2 linked regions of the Elephas maximus indicus genome follow. The protein of the gene in region 2 binds, or shares a complex with, the protein of the main gene of each other region. Links are inferred from orthologs where the notes say so. Each region holds a gene or a part of one and is shown on either strand. Other genes may lie near its edges.

What was found. The genes of interacting proteins can lie anywhere in the genome.
Region 1: the proteins of GIPR (region 2) and GIP are in contact, whole or in part, in a cryo-EM structure (PDB 7RA3), measured with the Homo sapiens proteins. The link is inferred for Elephas maximus indicus from reciprocal best matches to the Homo sapiens genes GIPR and GIP. Residues at the interface, in NP_000155.1 of Homo sapiens: Gln30, Thr31, Ala32, Leu35, Tyr36, Trp39, Tyr68, Trp71, Leu88, Trp90, Arg101, Arg113, His115, Asn120, Gln130, Arg131, Leu134, Glu135, Leu137, Gln138, Tyr141, Tyr145, Arg183, Ile187, Arg190, Asp191, Pro197, Gly198, Pro199, Tyr200; in NP_004114.1 of Homo sapiens: Tyr52, Ala53, Glu54, Gly55, Thr56, Phe57, Ile58, Ser59, Asp60, Tyr61, Ser62, Ile63, Ala64, Met65, Asp66, Lys67, Ile68, His69, Gln70, Gln71, Phe73, Val74, Trp76, Leu77, Leu78, Lys81.

The regions. Positions count from the first base shown.
Region 1 is NC_064837.1:44,609,766-44,617,557, reverse strand, and holds the start of GIP (gastric inhibitory polypeptide), read right to left. Parts: upstream 3,099-7,792; coding exon 3,013-3,098; intron 1,719-3,012; coding exon 1,572-1,718; intron 790-1,571; coding exon 700-789; intron 1-699. UniProt on the Homo sapiens protein: Potent stimulator of insulin secretion and relatively poor inhibitor of gastric acid secretion.
Region 2 is NC_064829.1:103,973,701-103,980,724, forward strand, and holds the start of GIPR (gastric inhibitory polypeptide receptor), read right to left. Parts: upstream 3,061-7,024; 5' UTR 3,023-3,060; intron 1,097-3,022; 5' UTR 953-1,096; intron 1-952. UniProt on the Homo sapiens protein: This is a receptor for GIP. The activity of this receptor is mediated by G proteins which activate adenylyl cyclase.

The DNA of each region.
Region 1 (7,792 bases), on a different chromosome or scaffold from region 2:
CCTTGTGTCCCGTCTGCTTGGCATCTGTGGGTTTTTGCTTTGGACAACTGGTGTCTCTGTTTTGCTGATGCCCTAAGCACATGCTTACCTGGCTTATTGGGCAATCCATCTCTACCGGGGAAGGTGGGCTTTTCAATACAGGTAAAGCCAAACAGAATTCTGGTGTGAGAAAGCCCACTCATCCACCTTGAAAAATATTCCAGAGTGCATTCCCCACACCTGAAAGATTACTCTGGGAACATTCACTCTTTAGAATGATTTGTGCCACAAATTCCTCCCTTTCCTCAGAGAGGGAGTAACTGATTTCAGGGAACTGTCTTTGGGATGGTCTCCCTCTTCCACAAACAGCCTTCCTGAGGTTTGTCAGGGAGAAGTGGGGAGGCCACTTCCTGAGCACCACTCCTTCACTGTCTCTCTCTTGACTCAGTGACCCTGTCTACATACAAAGTCATCAATCTTAGAAACCCTGGCCCAGAAGCCCCTCCCAAAGCCCCTCCCCCACCCCTCCGAGGCTGCTTCTTTAAGCCTGGGTTGACCTCCAGAAGTTTGCTCAGTGAAGCCCCCTCTTTGAACTCTTGACTGGAAGGGGTTGCTTATCACAGGCCCTTGCTCTGCCCTGGAGTCCAGGACAGGCAACAATGAAGTAGGGGCAGGTCAGAAGTCAGGAGGCCCCTTCCCACCCCTTTTCCCCCAACTCACCTCTGCTTCTCCCTTGCCTCCTCATTCCTGTTAGATTGAACGGCCAGCTCTAGGGCCCGGGCCTCCCTCTGGGTGATGTTGTGTTTCCAGCTGGTAGGATAAAGATTAGGGAGTAGATGGGGCTGAGATTCCAGGCCTTCTCTAGTCCAGGGACTCCTGAATCTTTTTGTACCTCAACCTTAGGAGAAGGGCACTGCACTCCTTGCCTTTAGCTGCCCCCGCCAGTGAACAGCTTTTCAGAATCTACCACGCTGACCAAACAGGGAAAGAGATACAGCAAAGAGAATGAAGAAGGGGGCAGTTATCCCATTTCTAAAATCTGAAGTTGCCACCACCAAAAAGTCATTGGAAGCAGCTCAGTTCCTCCTGCCTTCATCCCCACCCCCCTGGGGATCCTCTGTGTTCTCCCACACATCTACCTGACACCTCTTTAGAAGTAAAACCAAAAACTAGTTGCAGTGGAGTGGAGTCCAACCCGTAGCAGCCCCATGTGTGTCAGAGTAGAACTGTGCTCCATAGGGTTTTCAGTGGCTGATTTTTCTGAAGTAGATTGCCAGGATTTTCTTCTGAGGTGCCTCTGGGTGGACTCAAACCTCCAACCTTTTGGTTAGCAACCATTTATACTACCCAGGGACTCCTTTAGAAGAATTAGAAATCACCCTACTTCTGCCCCCAGACTGGCCTGCTGCCCCAGTCAAGATCTGGCCAGGGCCACCATGGCCAAGACAACTCCTCGTCATTGTCTAAGTGAAAGATGCAACCTGGAGTGGTGCATTCCACCCCCATGTGGCCATGTATGGTAGCCTGGTCTGAACATAGGAAGGTAGAGCCCTGGGAATGTGGAACAGGAGAGGGTGAGCACAAGGACTCACTCATTCTTCTTCCCCTTCTGGGCCAGCAGCCAGTTCACAAAGTCTTGTTGGCGGATCTTGTCCATGGCAATGCTGTAGTCACTGATGAAAGTCCCCTCAGCATATCTCGGGCCTCGAGGTTGAGGGCTGCTGACCTTAGGGTGGGGTCTGAGAGACAGGGAAGGGAGAGAGAGGGAAGATCAGGATGCCAGAGTAGTAGCAGAGAGGGGGAAAATCACAATGCTGGGTAAAAAGTTGTTGCTAACAGGAAGCAGGCATTTGAAAGCAAACCAGCCCATTTCTTGGGAGCTGGTTAATTTGGAGACTCCTGTTGTCACTCCATCAACCCCCTGGGGATTTGATCTGAGGCTCAAGGGTCCATCCTCCTGCATCCTGAGTGGGTATGCCTCTGGATTCTGGGCCAAGGGGGATGTGGGTTCCTCTCATTTCAAAGGACTGACTCACACAGTTCCTCCCTTTACTCCTCTTGCCCTGGACCTTCCTGATTCCATTCTTTGGTTTTCTTTCCGTCACAAAAATAGTGAACTCTTATAAGACAGCACTTGCCATGAGTCAGGAACTCTTATTAGCCCTCTAATACATAAACTCATTTAGTCTTCACAGCACCCTTATATGGTAGATACTACTTATTATCCCCACTTTATAAATGAAGAAACCAAGATGCAGAGAGATAAATATATCTTAGAGCATAAGTGACAGATCCAGGATTTACCCCCAAGCAGTATGGCCTCAGGTCTAAATTCTTAACATCTGGGTGATGCTGCCTATCCGTGTACACATCCCTGACAGCCTGTGCCTGAAATTTACATGCGTGTATCGTTTGTTCTTGCAGAAGGTCCATCTCTTTCCTCAGACATGTCTCCCTTGGTCCCTGAAACCACCATCAGAGCCCCCTGCTGTATTCACTCATAATACTCTCTACTTGTCTTCATTAAAAAAAAAAAAAAAAAAAATTTTTTTTTTTTTTTTTTTTTTTTTAATAGGACTCATGATATTTTGCAACATGCCTCTGTGGTTCTTTGTTCCCTCTTGGATCTATATGCCCCATGAGGACAGGAGCCATTTGTGGACTCTCATTGACATAGATCTCCTGTGCCTAGCCCACAGGAGGCCCTCTGTAAAATTATATTGAGTACATGCAAAAAGAAATGCTTAAAGCATTCCCTAGGAAGGGAGATTTTGTCATCTTCTTCAGACCCTTAACCACCAAGAAATCCTTTCAGATATTTAACCAGTCTCTCCTGCTACCACAGTAGCTCATAAAACCCTCTGGTTCTGGTCTCACTCTGCACTTAGACTGCTGAAAATCTTTCCCTTGAGTCTCTTTCCTCTTGGCCTGGGATCCCTTCTTCTCTCTCTCTCTCACTCAACAGAGCCTAGAACCCAGTCATCCCCCAGCCCCCTCCTCTGCTGTTGATCCCTCCCTTCCCATCACCCCTACCTGGAGTGACCCTTCTCCTTCTCCCCTAGCACCACTGCCACGAGCAGGGATACTAGCAGCAGAGACAAGATCTTCATGGTCACCATCTTCCAAGGATTATATCCTGAGCTGAAGACAAAAGGACCAAGATAAGGCAGACAGTGCTGTGCTGAGGGAGCAGCTTGTATAAAGATGGTTCTGAAAGCTGGGGAGGGGCTGAGTCCTGGGGTTTGGAGCTTTTCTAACAGACTGAAGCAACACCTTGGGAGGGTGGCGGGTGTTGGGCATTTGGGTTAATGACTAGAAAGGACTTGAAGCCTGGCCAAGAGGGGCGTTTGCTTTTTTGTTTATAGATAGGGTCTGAGTGGGGTGGGAAAAGGGCAATGAGGGAGAGATCCAGGGAGGATAAAGCAGTGAAGACCTGTGTGCTTGGGCACTCTGCCTCCCCTCTGTCCCTGGCTCTGGGACTGAACTTCATAGGCATGTGGTTTGGCAAGATTATCTCCTTAGAGCCCTTCGAGGTTCGTATCAACCAGCCTTCCTACTCTCAAATTGGCTGCCGTTTAAATCACTGTAACCCTCTTGCCCTAAATGAAAACTACACATAGAATCATCCCAGTCTCCCCTTCTCAGGCTTAACCATCAGGGTTGTTCTTCCTGCAGTCTGAGCTATACCTTCCCACCTTGGGCTTGACCCATTTCATCCATGGGTTTTCAGTAGAGATAAAGTACAATGGAGAACTTCCCTCCTAAGCTAGACTTAGAGATTTGTGAGCTGCAGGACCCCATCTTCCCGCCTTGGCTACCTGAATGTTAAAGAAACCATCAAAGAGAACTTCTTATTTCTTATACAGAGGAAGAGAAAGTGAAATGTTAGGAGGCTGAGCATCTCAGGGTTACCAAGGTCCCCCTCCACCTCCTCTCCAGGTCATCCGATCCATCCCCTCTCCCAGGTTTTCTCTTACCAGACTTCCTTTCTGGCTCTTCCAGGAGAAGGAAAGGGCGAGGGTCTCTTCCTCCTACCTTCTGGCTCTTTAGAGCTGCGTCAAGAAAGCCTACTTCAGCTCTTTTATATCCAGGCATCCGAGACCAGCTGATTAGCCTAAAAGCATCTTATCTCAAGAAATTAAACCCACAGCTCCTGCCACATTAAGTCCATTTTACACATAATAAAGTTGTCCTTTCCACCTGAACTGCACTAATTGGTGATTAACATTTTGGGTATCTCCAACTGCTGTCTGCGGCCTGCCCAGGAGTAGGGTACCCTAAGTGCTCCCTTACTCCTTCCCTCTCCTCCGTTCTGGGCACAGGGCCCAGTACACACACACCCCCACCCCCCGCCCCCCACTTCATTTATAGATGCCCTTAGTTAGAAAGGGCTTACTTGCTGAGGGCTGGCTTGGGGTGGAGTGGGCACTAGCTGGGGGGCACTCCTACAAGTTAGTAAGTCTACTTCTGGGTGGGAAGAAGTGGGGCCACAGTAGTCTGAGCCCTGGGTCTGGACAAGGGCCCGTGGGTTTGGCATTGTAGCAATGTCTCCATCTGGGGCAAGGTCCTAGGTGGCTGGGAAAAGGAACCGGAGAATCAGAGGACAGAGGTCAAGGGAACATGAAAGCTGGGGGTTTTCTGGTGGTAGATGGGTGAACTGAGAACTTATACTCAAGCTGTCTTCCTGCTTTGGGCAGGACAGAATAGAGAACAGGCACATTCATACCTTGAGAACTTGGAGAAAGATGGAGGCAGCTACTTGACCTATCGGTAAAGATAAGATTTTTAAGACTCAATTCCTCCTTAAACGCCCTGCTCTTCTATATGAGGAAAGTATGTGGTCCTGTCTCCTCCATCATACTGGGGACCCCTGAGGTGAGGTGGTACTGTACCTCACTATCAGATTGGTGGGCTCTCCAAGACAGAAGTTATATCTCCTTGATCAGACTGGGGGCTCTCTGAGGGCAGCGATGTCAGCCAGGGTTATATTCTCCGCATCACCCTGGGGCTTCCTAAGGCTAAGGGCTGGATCTCCCCTCTCAGACTGAAGACTTCCCGAGGTACTCCCGTTGCCTTTGCCCAAGTACTTACCACATGGCTCCGTCCACAGAGGCTATCCGTCTAGGAGGGACAGGACATAGACTGCATGTTTGGCAGCCCACCCTTCTCCACTCACAATGGGTACCACTGAACCATGAACAACTGAGCTCATGCCCTGCCTATTAGCTCTAGGGCTTAATACCTGCCACTTTCCCTTCCAGGTGAACTCCCCAGCCTGGGAGCAGATCCAGCATGAAATTAAGTGCCTGTGTGGGATAAGAGGTAACTGGACTAGGAGGGTAACTCACCTCTGCTTCCTAGAAACCTCCTCCCACCTATCCACCCATTTCTCTCCATCCAGAAAAATTTCTCCCTGGGCAAGCTCTCTAAATTCCGTATCCCAGCTACAAACGGGGCAGAGCTGAGACATCAATTCAGATTTGATCTCCAAAGGGGAGGTGGGGCTGCTGGGATCCTGCTTCCTGTTGAGCAACACAGGTTCATGGGCTCAGAGAGTTTGTGTCAAAAGTCTTCAGCCCCCCAACCTGGGCATCCATCCGTGCCTAGAGGCAGAAGATATCCAAAAAGAAGTGGACAGAGTTCCTTGGAACCCCTAAGTGATGCCAAACCAGAACCTTCTGGTGATGCCAGAACCTTCAAGGAAGGTTCTGAGATGAGTCGCAGCAGCTCTGAGCCCTTGCCCTGGTAACCTGTGGATTTGTTCCGGGGGATGGGCTGCTCTGAAGGCCAGTCGTGTTTGAAGCCCCTACTCCACCCCTTCTTGCAGGGGACTTTTCTGCAGCACCCCCCACTTCCAGTTATCCTTTGACCTTTGGCCCTCATGCCCTGCTGAGGACACACAAGAGAAGAATGCGCCTGGGGGAGGGGCAGGGGTGGCTGGGGGAAGGGATGTGAGAATGGCCGCTTAGCCCAAAGTTCCTGTTCAAGTCTGCAAGTTCTACACACCCCGGGATCAATGGAGCAGTGTGGGGAGATCCAGGGGAGAATATCAGAGAAGCCACATTCTCAGGGGTGCCCACGACCCTTCCCTTCCCCTCAGGGCATGCATGTTGGAAGGCAAGGGAATGGAAAAAAGACCTTGGGAAGCTTCTGAGGGTTAGAAAGACCTGCTGGACTTGGTCAAAAGAGTTAATAAATCCAACTGACAGCCCACTCAGCCTGTCCAAGCCATGATGAGACATGCCACCGGGCTCCAGTTCCGCTTCACGGAATTTCCAGGATCTGAGGATTGGAGAGGACACTGGGGATGGGGAGGCAGGAGGAAGCCCCGACAGGTCTAAAGCCCAGATACAAAGGCTGAGGGACCAGACAGGTAGAGAGTGTGCAGGGTTGGGGTGTCTGAGGAGGCATGGAAGTCAGGGAATCAGAGGGTAAAGTGTGGGCAGGGAGTGATGTGCAGTCCTGTTGCAAGAGAACCCAGGGTACTCTTCCAGCCCCTCCTGGGTACTGAGTCAGGGACCCAGGAATGAGAACTGGACTAGCAGAAGAGCATTCCAGTTCACAGTGACTCATCTCCTCCCCTCCCCCTTCCAGGGCCCTGCAGGTCCACAGGAGACATTCCAGGGTGGGCTTGGCAGCCAGGCCAGGGTGACTCAGAGGACTGGCTGCAGCCTCCCCACCATGGACTCCGCTTTTGAAGTCCACTTGGTCTTCAACCTCACTGGCTGACTCAGAAAGTAGACGTCCCTCTCTAACCCCTCTTACACAAGGTGGGAGATTTATTCTCCTTGCCCTCTTGTAAAGGAGACAAAAGGGGGCATGATGCTTGACAAACATTGCTGTCATCTGGTCCATCCTGATTCCTAGAAAGAATACCTCCAGTTTTCTTTCCCAATCACATAACAAACAGTCCCAATTCCAAACATTTTTGTCCATATCACCCTCCAGCACCACGCAGGTCAAGATATATACTTTCCAGAAAGATCTTCAAAGAAAGAATATATATACTACCTACACCTTTGGCTGGCTATCTGCTACAAGGTTTCTGTTTAGAAGTCCCCTCTTAGTTCTAACTGCAATCCCTCTTGCTATTATAAAAGTCTACATTGACTGCTTTTGTTTGTCAGGAAAATACCTCAAGCTACTAGTAAGCCTAATCCATGGGAGGAAGATTGCAGTGAAGAGTTAGAACTGGGAAGGGGTTAGAACAGGGTTGTCACTTCCCAGGGAGCCCTGCTAAAAAGAGGGAAGGAATTCCTTGTGCATTTAGGATAAAAGACCAAAGGGCTGGACCTCCCAGAGAGAGCAGCATTCCTGAGCCCCTCGGTCTCCCTGGTGGGAACACCATCCCAGGGGAAGATAGGAAGGGGTAAAAAGGGAGGGATTTCTTCTTTGCCTTATCTTTGCATGGGCTTATGAAGGATGGAGCAGTTTCCAGAGTCCTAAGACAACAAAACCTGCCCTGATTCATAGGTAAGTGCAAAGTTAGTGTTTATTAACTTGAAGGCATCCTGCAAGTGTTGACTGGTAGTATTTTCTAGAATGACCTCCCCTGTCTTACTCTAGTAAAAAAAAAAAAAAAAAGTTGAGATTCATAGTGACTCCATGTGTGCAGAGCAGAATTGCTCCATAGGGTTTTCAAGACTGTGTGGCTTTTCAGAAGCAGATCACCAACCCTGCCTTCCGAAGCACCTCTGGGTGGTTTTGAACCAACAACCTTTCAGTTAGCAGTTGAGTGTTTAATGTTTGCACCACACAGACACTCGTCTTCACTCTATAGTGAGAATTAAAAAAGATGAGGTAATAAATCTGG
Region 2 (7,024 bases):
GAGGCCCACACCACACACACCCCACCCCACCCCGGCCCCACGCGGGATTGGGGGGGCGCGAGGAGTGGCCGGCACCGAGGCTGAGGCACACGATTGCCGGGCCCGCCTCCAGTTTGTTGCTCCGGCAGCGGCGGTGGACAGGGGGCGGGGGTGTTTGCTGAGGGGGCGGTTGCCCTAGAGCTGCGCTGGGCGGAAGCGCCAGCGTCACCCGGAGTCTAGACCCAGAGACTCTGGGGACCGCCTTGGAGAGGAGGGAGTAGCAACCGTCAGCTAAGGCTAGGGTGGAGCGTGAGTCCCCCATCGGAGTTCCCACTCTCGGGGGTTTCAAATGGCCCAGAAAAACCTGACCCTATAAAACTTTCCCCGCTGTGGAGAAAACCCAGGATCGGCAGGACAGCCCCTCTCCCAACATCCAAATCCTTAGAGACTAGAGAGGCGTCAGACCCTGGCTTACATCTGCAGGGGCTCAGTACCTGGAAACCTCTGGTCCAAAATCCCCCGCCCCCCTACCAGGCACCACGTAGGGAAAGGGAAAGGGGAAAGTAGGGAGAATCTCAGAAGGAGCCCCCTGGAAGACAGACACGCAGTCAGAGACATACCAGACAGAAATACAGAGACTAGAGACACACAGAGAAAGAGAGACACGGCTAGAGACTAGAGACCAAGGGACATAGAAAGCGACAAATATGTGGACCAGGAGACAAAGACAAGGAGAGAGACAGAGTGGGAAAGAGAGACAGAGATACAGAAGCAAAGCCTTCTGGAGGCTAAACAGATTGAGAGATATGGAAACAGACACCAAGAGACAGAGACTGAGAGACAGAAAGAGACAAAGGTATAGGCTGAGAGAGAGAGAGAGAGAAACCCAGAGACTTGAGGGGGAGATGGGGGCAGAAGGAACAGGCTAGGACTGGGAGAGCCCTCACCTGCCCCCAGCTCTACTCATGCTCACCTGTTCCTGCCGCCGCTTCAGCTGCTGCTGCTGCCGTCTCCACTGCCTGTCTGGGCACTGGAAGAGGTGACAGGCGCTGGCAGCCTGGGGTGGTGGGAGGGGGCGGAGCCAGGGCGGGACCCAGAACAGGAGGGAGAGCTCCAGCTAAGATCCAGCACAGGAGGACCATGGCATGTAAGTATCACAGTCACTCCAGGTCACGTGGAAGAGCAGTCACACTGTCACTGTCCCAAGGACCCCCCACCATGCACGGTCTCTCACTGGCCCACCTACAGCCCCCTAGTCACACAGCACACCTCCCACCCAGTCACTCACACACAGAGCAACAGCCACGAAGTCACATACACAGCGTCTCACACAACCCATACTGTGGCACAGTGAATTACCTTCTAGCCATAGCGTTTGTGATTCACACACAATGGTTGAATGGGACCATGCAAATAAAGTGTATGGAGCCCTAAGGAAGGGGTTAATCAGTTTTACCATCCCACTAGGCTTAAAATGAGCTGTCCCAGAGCGGGGAAGAGAAGATCTCACCACCACCAAGAAAGAAGAGCCAGGAGTGGGGTGTGTACTTTGGGCCCTGAATCTCTGTGCTGAGAAGCTCCTGGAACCAGGACCTAAAGAGAGAGCTGTAACACCAAAGACGGTGAGAAGCAGCAGCAGAGAAATGGTGGCAGCACAGGAAGGAGACCACAGGAGACAGCGGTTGGGCTTCCTGGCCCACAGAAAGAGAAAGCTGAGCGCCTTTAGGTGGCAGGCTTACTGGCAGAGTGGGGTGCCTCTGGGCACTTACCAGCAGAACTAAAAGAGCTTTGTAACACTTGCCCAAGCAGGGCAGAGGCCAGGCCGAGACCAGCCTTTGGGCACGGCTGAGAAGAGGCTGTCCTGATGGAAGAACTGTATCCTGAGTGTTCCTGAACCAGAATTGTAACTCGTTACTTCCCTAATAAACCCCATAATCATAAGTATTGTCTGTGAGTTCTGGGTGGCCATTGCAACGAATTATCGAACCCAGCAGAGAAGTAGAGAGTGCCGTGGGAAGGACAGACGGTGTCAGAATTGGTAAAAAGGGCTGGCGAGAGGAGGTATGTCTGACCTTTGCCTCATAGGAATCAGCGTTGGGCTGTTGATCTTGAATCTCCTTCCCCCTGGTATAGTTAGGAGAGGTCAGACACCCCTGCCACGCCATTTTTACATATACCACCTGAGCCACAGAGAGACACCGTTGCAGAATCTCACACGATTACTCATAGAGTCACACGTCATTCCCAGGTGTACCTTCCCACGGTCACACCCAAAGAGCCAAAGTCTCTCACCCCCAGGCTGACACAGTGACACACAGCCACACGCCCAGGGCAGTGGACTCCTGTACCAACAGTAACACAATCATAGCTTCACAGTCTCAGTGATGCTGTCATGCACACGTGTCCACACAATCACTAGTCACATTACAATCACCATCCATCTCTCCCAATGGCCCATGTGCCCACGAGGGCAGAGCCAGGCATCTTGGTCACTGCTGAGTGCCCAGTATAGTCCAGCACAGGTCTGAGTACAGAGCAGGGGCTCAGAAATTACTATTGGTGCAATAAACACACACGGTTGTATAGTCACTGGTACTTTAGTGACACAACCTACACACACACTTGTTGACACTCTCACACAGTCTCACACACTTCGCATAATCACCCCCAGAGTTCACAGAGTCACACCCCTACACACAGGTCCAGTCGTCACTAAGACACACACTCTCTCAAGTTCTCAGCATGACACTGTCACACTGCCACCCTCCCTCATGAAGTCCTATCACACAGACACACAACTTTCCATCACAGCCCCACTCGCACTTGACAGCCACACACAATCACCCAGTAGGGGTACACATCATGTCCCCACCACCCCACGATCACACACAGTCATAAACGGGGTCAACACCACAATCCTACCACCCCACAATCACACACAGTCACACAGAGGGTCACACACCACGATCCCACCACCCCACAATCATACACTAACCCCTAGTCTCACCAGTCCCATGGTCATGGTCACTATTGACTCACACACCTTCTTAGGACCTCTACTTCCAGTCTCTTCCTTTGTCCTAAAATTTCATGTGAGAGGAGAGGGCTTAGCAACTGAGTTCCCGTTTTCAGCGCCCTTGCGTCCCTTTGACACAAACCACCAATTGTCCCACATAAATCATGTGATTAACGTTCATGAGCATGAGTTCCCCTGGGATCTAAGAGAAGGGGGCAGGGTCGAGTCTGCCCATTTTGGAGAGGAGAAACTGAGGCCCAGAAGCAGCCCCAAGAAGGGCAGGGAGTAAGGGGTGGTAGGGGGACCAGCACCAGAGGCTGGAAGGAGGCCAGGCTGGGAGGGCCAGGGGGATCCCTCACTTCCTGGTCTCTGGCTGGCCTCCCTGCTCTCTGCCCCACATTCCTGGTGCCCTCTGGGTCCTGGGAAAGGCTGCTCTCATGGAGTGGAGCGGGGAGGGAGTGTGAGATTGCCCGGCACCTCGGGGAGAAGCTGGGCTTGTGGGGTCTCTCCTTGGCCCCCCTGCTGGGGCTGGGGGGAAGGGGCTGGGGGAGAGGAACCCGGGCCTGGGCGATGCCTAGAGGCAAAGTGATGGATTGGTAGGGTGGCTGAGGTCCTAGGGTAGGGGTGGGAGTGGGAAGACTGAGAAGGGGGAGGGGAAAGCAAGGAGGAAGGGGAAGCAGTGGACAGGGATTGAAGTGGTGAGAGGGAAAGGAAACCAAGGGCCAAGACAGACCCAGAGGGGGAGAGAGAGGAAGACAGAAAGAGATAGAGAAAATGAGAGAGACCAAGAGAAAGAGAGAAACAGATCAAGAGATAGAGACAAAGACAACAGGGAAAGACAGAGAAATCAAGAGAAGGGTGGAGAAAGAGACCAAGAGAAAGACAAACCAAGGGAGAGAAAGCAGGGACCAAGAGAAGACACAAACTGAATGATCAAGATATCGGGAGAGACAGTGATGGGATGGGTGAGAGCGCCAGAAAGACCAGGTCCTGAGGACAGAGATGACCAAGATCAGGAGACCGGGAGACGAACGGGGTGGCCTCAGGCTGCTGTAGTGCAGATTTCCTCACCCCCTCCATCATCAGCCCTCCACTCCTGCTCCATCCTCAGCTGTCCACCCCACCTCATCACCCCTTGAGGAAAACACAGGACCCAGTGGGGAGTGAGCATGGAGTACAGGAGGAGGAGGTGGGTACAGGTAGATGCCTGGGTCCCTGCGCAGCCCCCCTGCACAGCCCAGCCCCCCTGCACAGCCCAGCCCCCCTGCACAGCCCAGCCCCCCTGCGCAGCCCAGCCCCCCTGCACAGCCCAGCCCAGCCCCCCTGGGGTCCTCTGGGTCTTTGCCCTTCAGGCTACATCTCTCTGCAGGGCACCAGGGGTGGCCACAAGCCCTCTCTGGCTCCCAAGCTCAGGGCTTCTGGAACTTTTTCTGCCCTGGGACTGGGCAGAGAAGCCACGCCCCCCATCACCCAACCCCTCGCAGGCAGCCATGTGCACCCCTAGACCCCAGAGGACCCAGAAAGAGAGGAGCCCCTTCTCCATGCCTTTCAACACTCTCCCCTATCAATCTCCATTTTCCTTTTCTATTCCTGTCTCTGGAATCCCTAGGTGGTGCAAATGGTTAACATGCTCAGCTGCTAACTAAAAGATTGGAGGTTTGAGTCCACCCAGAGGAGCCTTGAAAGAAAGACCCGGCGATCTACTCCCCCCTCCCTCCTTTTCTCTCTCTGTTGTCTTTCTTGCTTCACTCCACCCTCTCTCTTCCTTTAGTGTGACTCTCTCCTTCCTTCTTTTTTCTGACTCCACACTCAGCTTGCCCCTGTCTTTCTCTCCTGTCTGTCTGTCATTTCTCTTCTCTTCTGGTTTCTCTCAGTGTCATTCTTCCTCTTTGCTCATTTCTATTGGTCTTTCTCTCCAGAATAGTCTCTTTTTGCTCATCTTCAAGATTTCTCCTTTCTCTCATCCTCTTTTCCACTCTGCTTTCTTGATGCCTGTCTGTCTGTCTTTTTCTCTCCCTCCAGCTCTTGTTCTCCTCCCCCACCCCCTACCAATGACCAGGCCTTAGGTACCTTATTCCTAATATTGTCCCCCCCTCCACCCCCGCAGGATGCGGGAAGCAGAGACTGGGAAGGAGCTGGAGGGCCTTGGCCTCCCCCATGGGGCTGCCTGGCCAAGCAGGGCCTGTGGGGAGCAGGCGGGGGCCTGGAGCGCTGGCAGATGGTGCAGAGAAATGAGGCAGAGAGAGATGGGGAGAGGGGACAACCCATGGCGACTAAGACCAGAAGTGGGGGGCTGAGATGGTCCCCTGAGATTCAGGGTTGCAGAGAGATGCTGTCTGAAAGACTGAGACCCCCAAGAGAGACACACAAAGACAGAAAGAGACAGAGGAGAGGCAGAGAGATAGAGAGAAGAAGTAGAAGATGGAGACTGAGAAACAGTGACAGACATGGGGTCCAGAGAGAGACAGAGACCCAGAGAGAGACAGCACTCCAGAGACAGGGGTGCAGACAGACACACAGAGAGAGAAGATTGCAGTGAAAGAGTGAGAGAAGAACCCAAAGACAGAAATAGACACAGATTCAGAGATCCTAGAGAGACAAACCTAAAACTGTGGGGATCCAGAGAGAGAGACAGACAGGCAGAGACCCAAAGACAGACTGAGACCCAGAGACATGAACCCTGAGAGAGGCAGGGACCCAGAGACATGAAGAGACAGAAGCACAGAGATGGAACCCAGAGAGTAAGAAGCAAGACAGAGACTCAGAGACAGGCATCCAGAGAGAGAGATACAGAGACAGAGATGAAGAGATGGCACAGATAGACAGGGACCCGTAAAGAAATACAGACAGAGGGACAGAATCTCAAAGAGAAAAAGACTCAGAGAGAGGGGGGGCTACTTGGAGTCCAGAGGGTTGGGGAGAGGGGAGTAAACTTTCCACCTAAACGTAGGGGTAAACCCTCTCAAAGACACAGACAGAGAAGAGACCAAGGCTCCTCTCACCCTCTCTGGGCCTGGCGGGAGCATGTCTCCATAGCGACCACCTCAGATCCTGAGGGCAAATATTTTCCTGCCAGAAGCAGCCGGGCTGTGTTGACTAAATCTCTTGCTGGGTGAGGCGGGATGGGGGCTCTGGGGAGCCAGAGGCCAGGGTGGGGGGTAGGACAGCAGGGAGGCTCCCAGCTGGGGCTCCACAAACACCTCCCGCCTTCCCGGGTCTCCAAACCCCAGTGCAAATATCCCCATCCTGGAAGGAGCGGCTGAGAGTTTAGAGCCCAGAAGGTCCCTGGCTGCCCCCTGGTGGTGGTGGGCGAGCCCTGAGGGCCCCTTTCCTGGCGTCCTGGAGCGTCCTGGAGGGCAGGCTGGTTTAAGCAGCAGTCTCCTCCAGGTTTCTTGAATATGGCACCTCCTTCCCCCTCCTCTAACCCATGCTCTGATCCAGGACCCTCCTCTCCCCTAGTGTCCTGCCCCAGTCCCGCCTCTCTCCCTCCCAGCTACCCCCCTGCACAGGCAGACAAAGGGGTCTTCCTAAAGCATAAACCTGACCCTGTCCCTCCCCTCTACTGTTTTGGACTGAACTGTGTCCCACAAGTGCTGAAATCCTAACACTTGTACCTGTAAAAAAAATCCCTGGGTGGTTGTTATGAATTGAATCATGTCCCCTAAAAATGTGTGTCAACTTGGCTAGGCCATGATTCCCAGTATTGTGTGATTGCCCACCATTTTGTCATCTGATGTGATTTTCCTATGTGTTATAAACCCTACCTCTATGATGTTAATGAGGCAGGACTCAATCTATAGGATTAGGTTGTATGTTGAGTCAATTTCTTTTGAGATATTAAAGACAGAAGTGAGCAGAGAGACAGGGGACCTCATACCACCAAGGAAGAAGAGTCAGGAGAATAGTATGTTCTTTGAACCCAGGGTCCCTGCACTGAGAAACTCTTAGTCCTGGAGAACATTGATGACAAGGACCTTCCCCCACAATCAACAGAGAAAGACCTTCCCCTGGAACTGGCATCCTGAATTC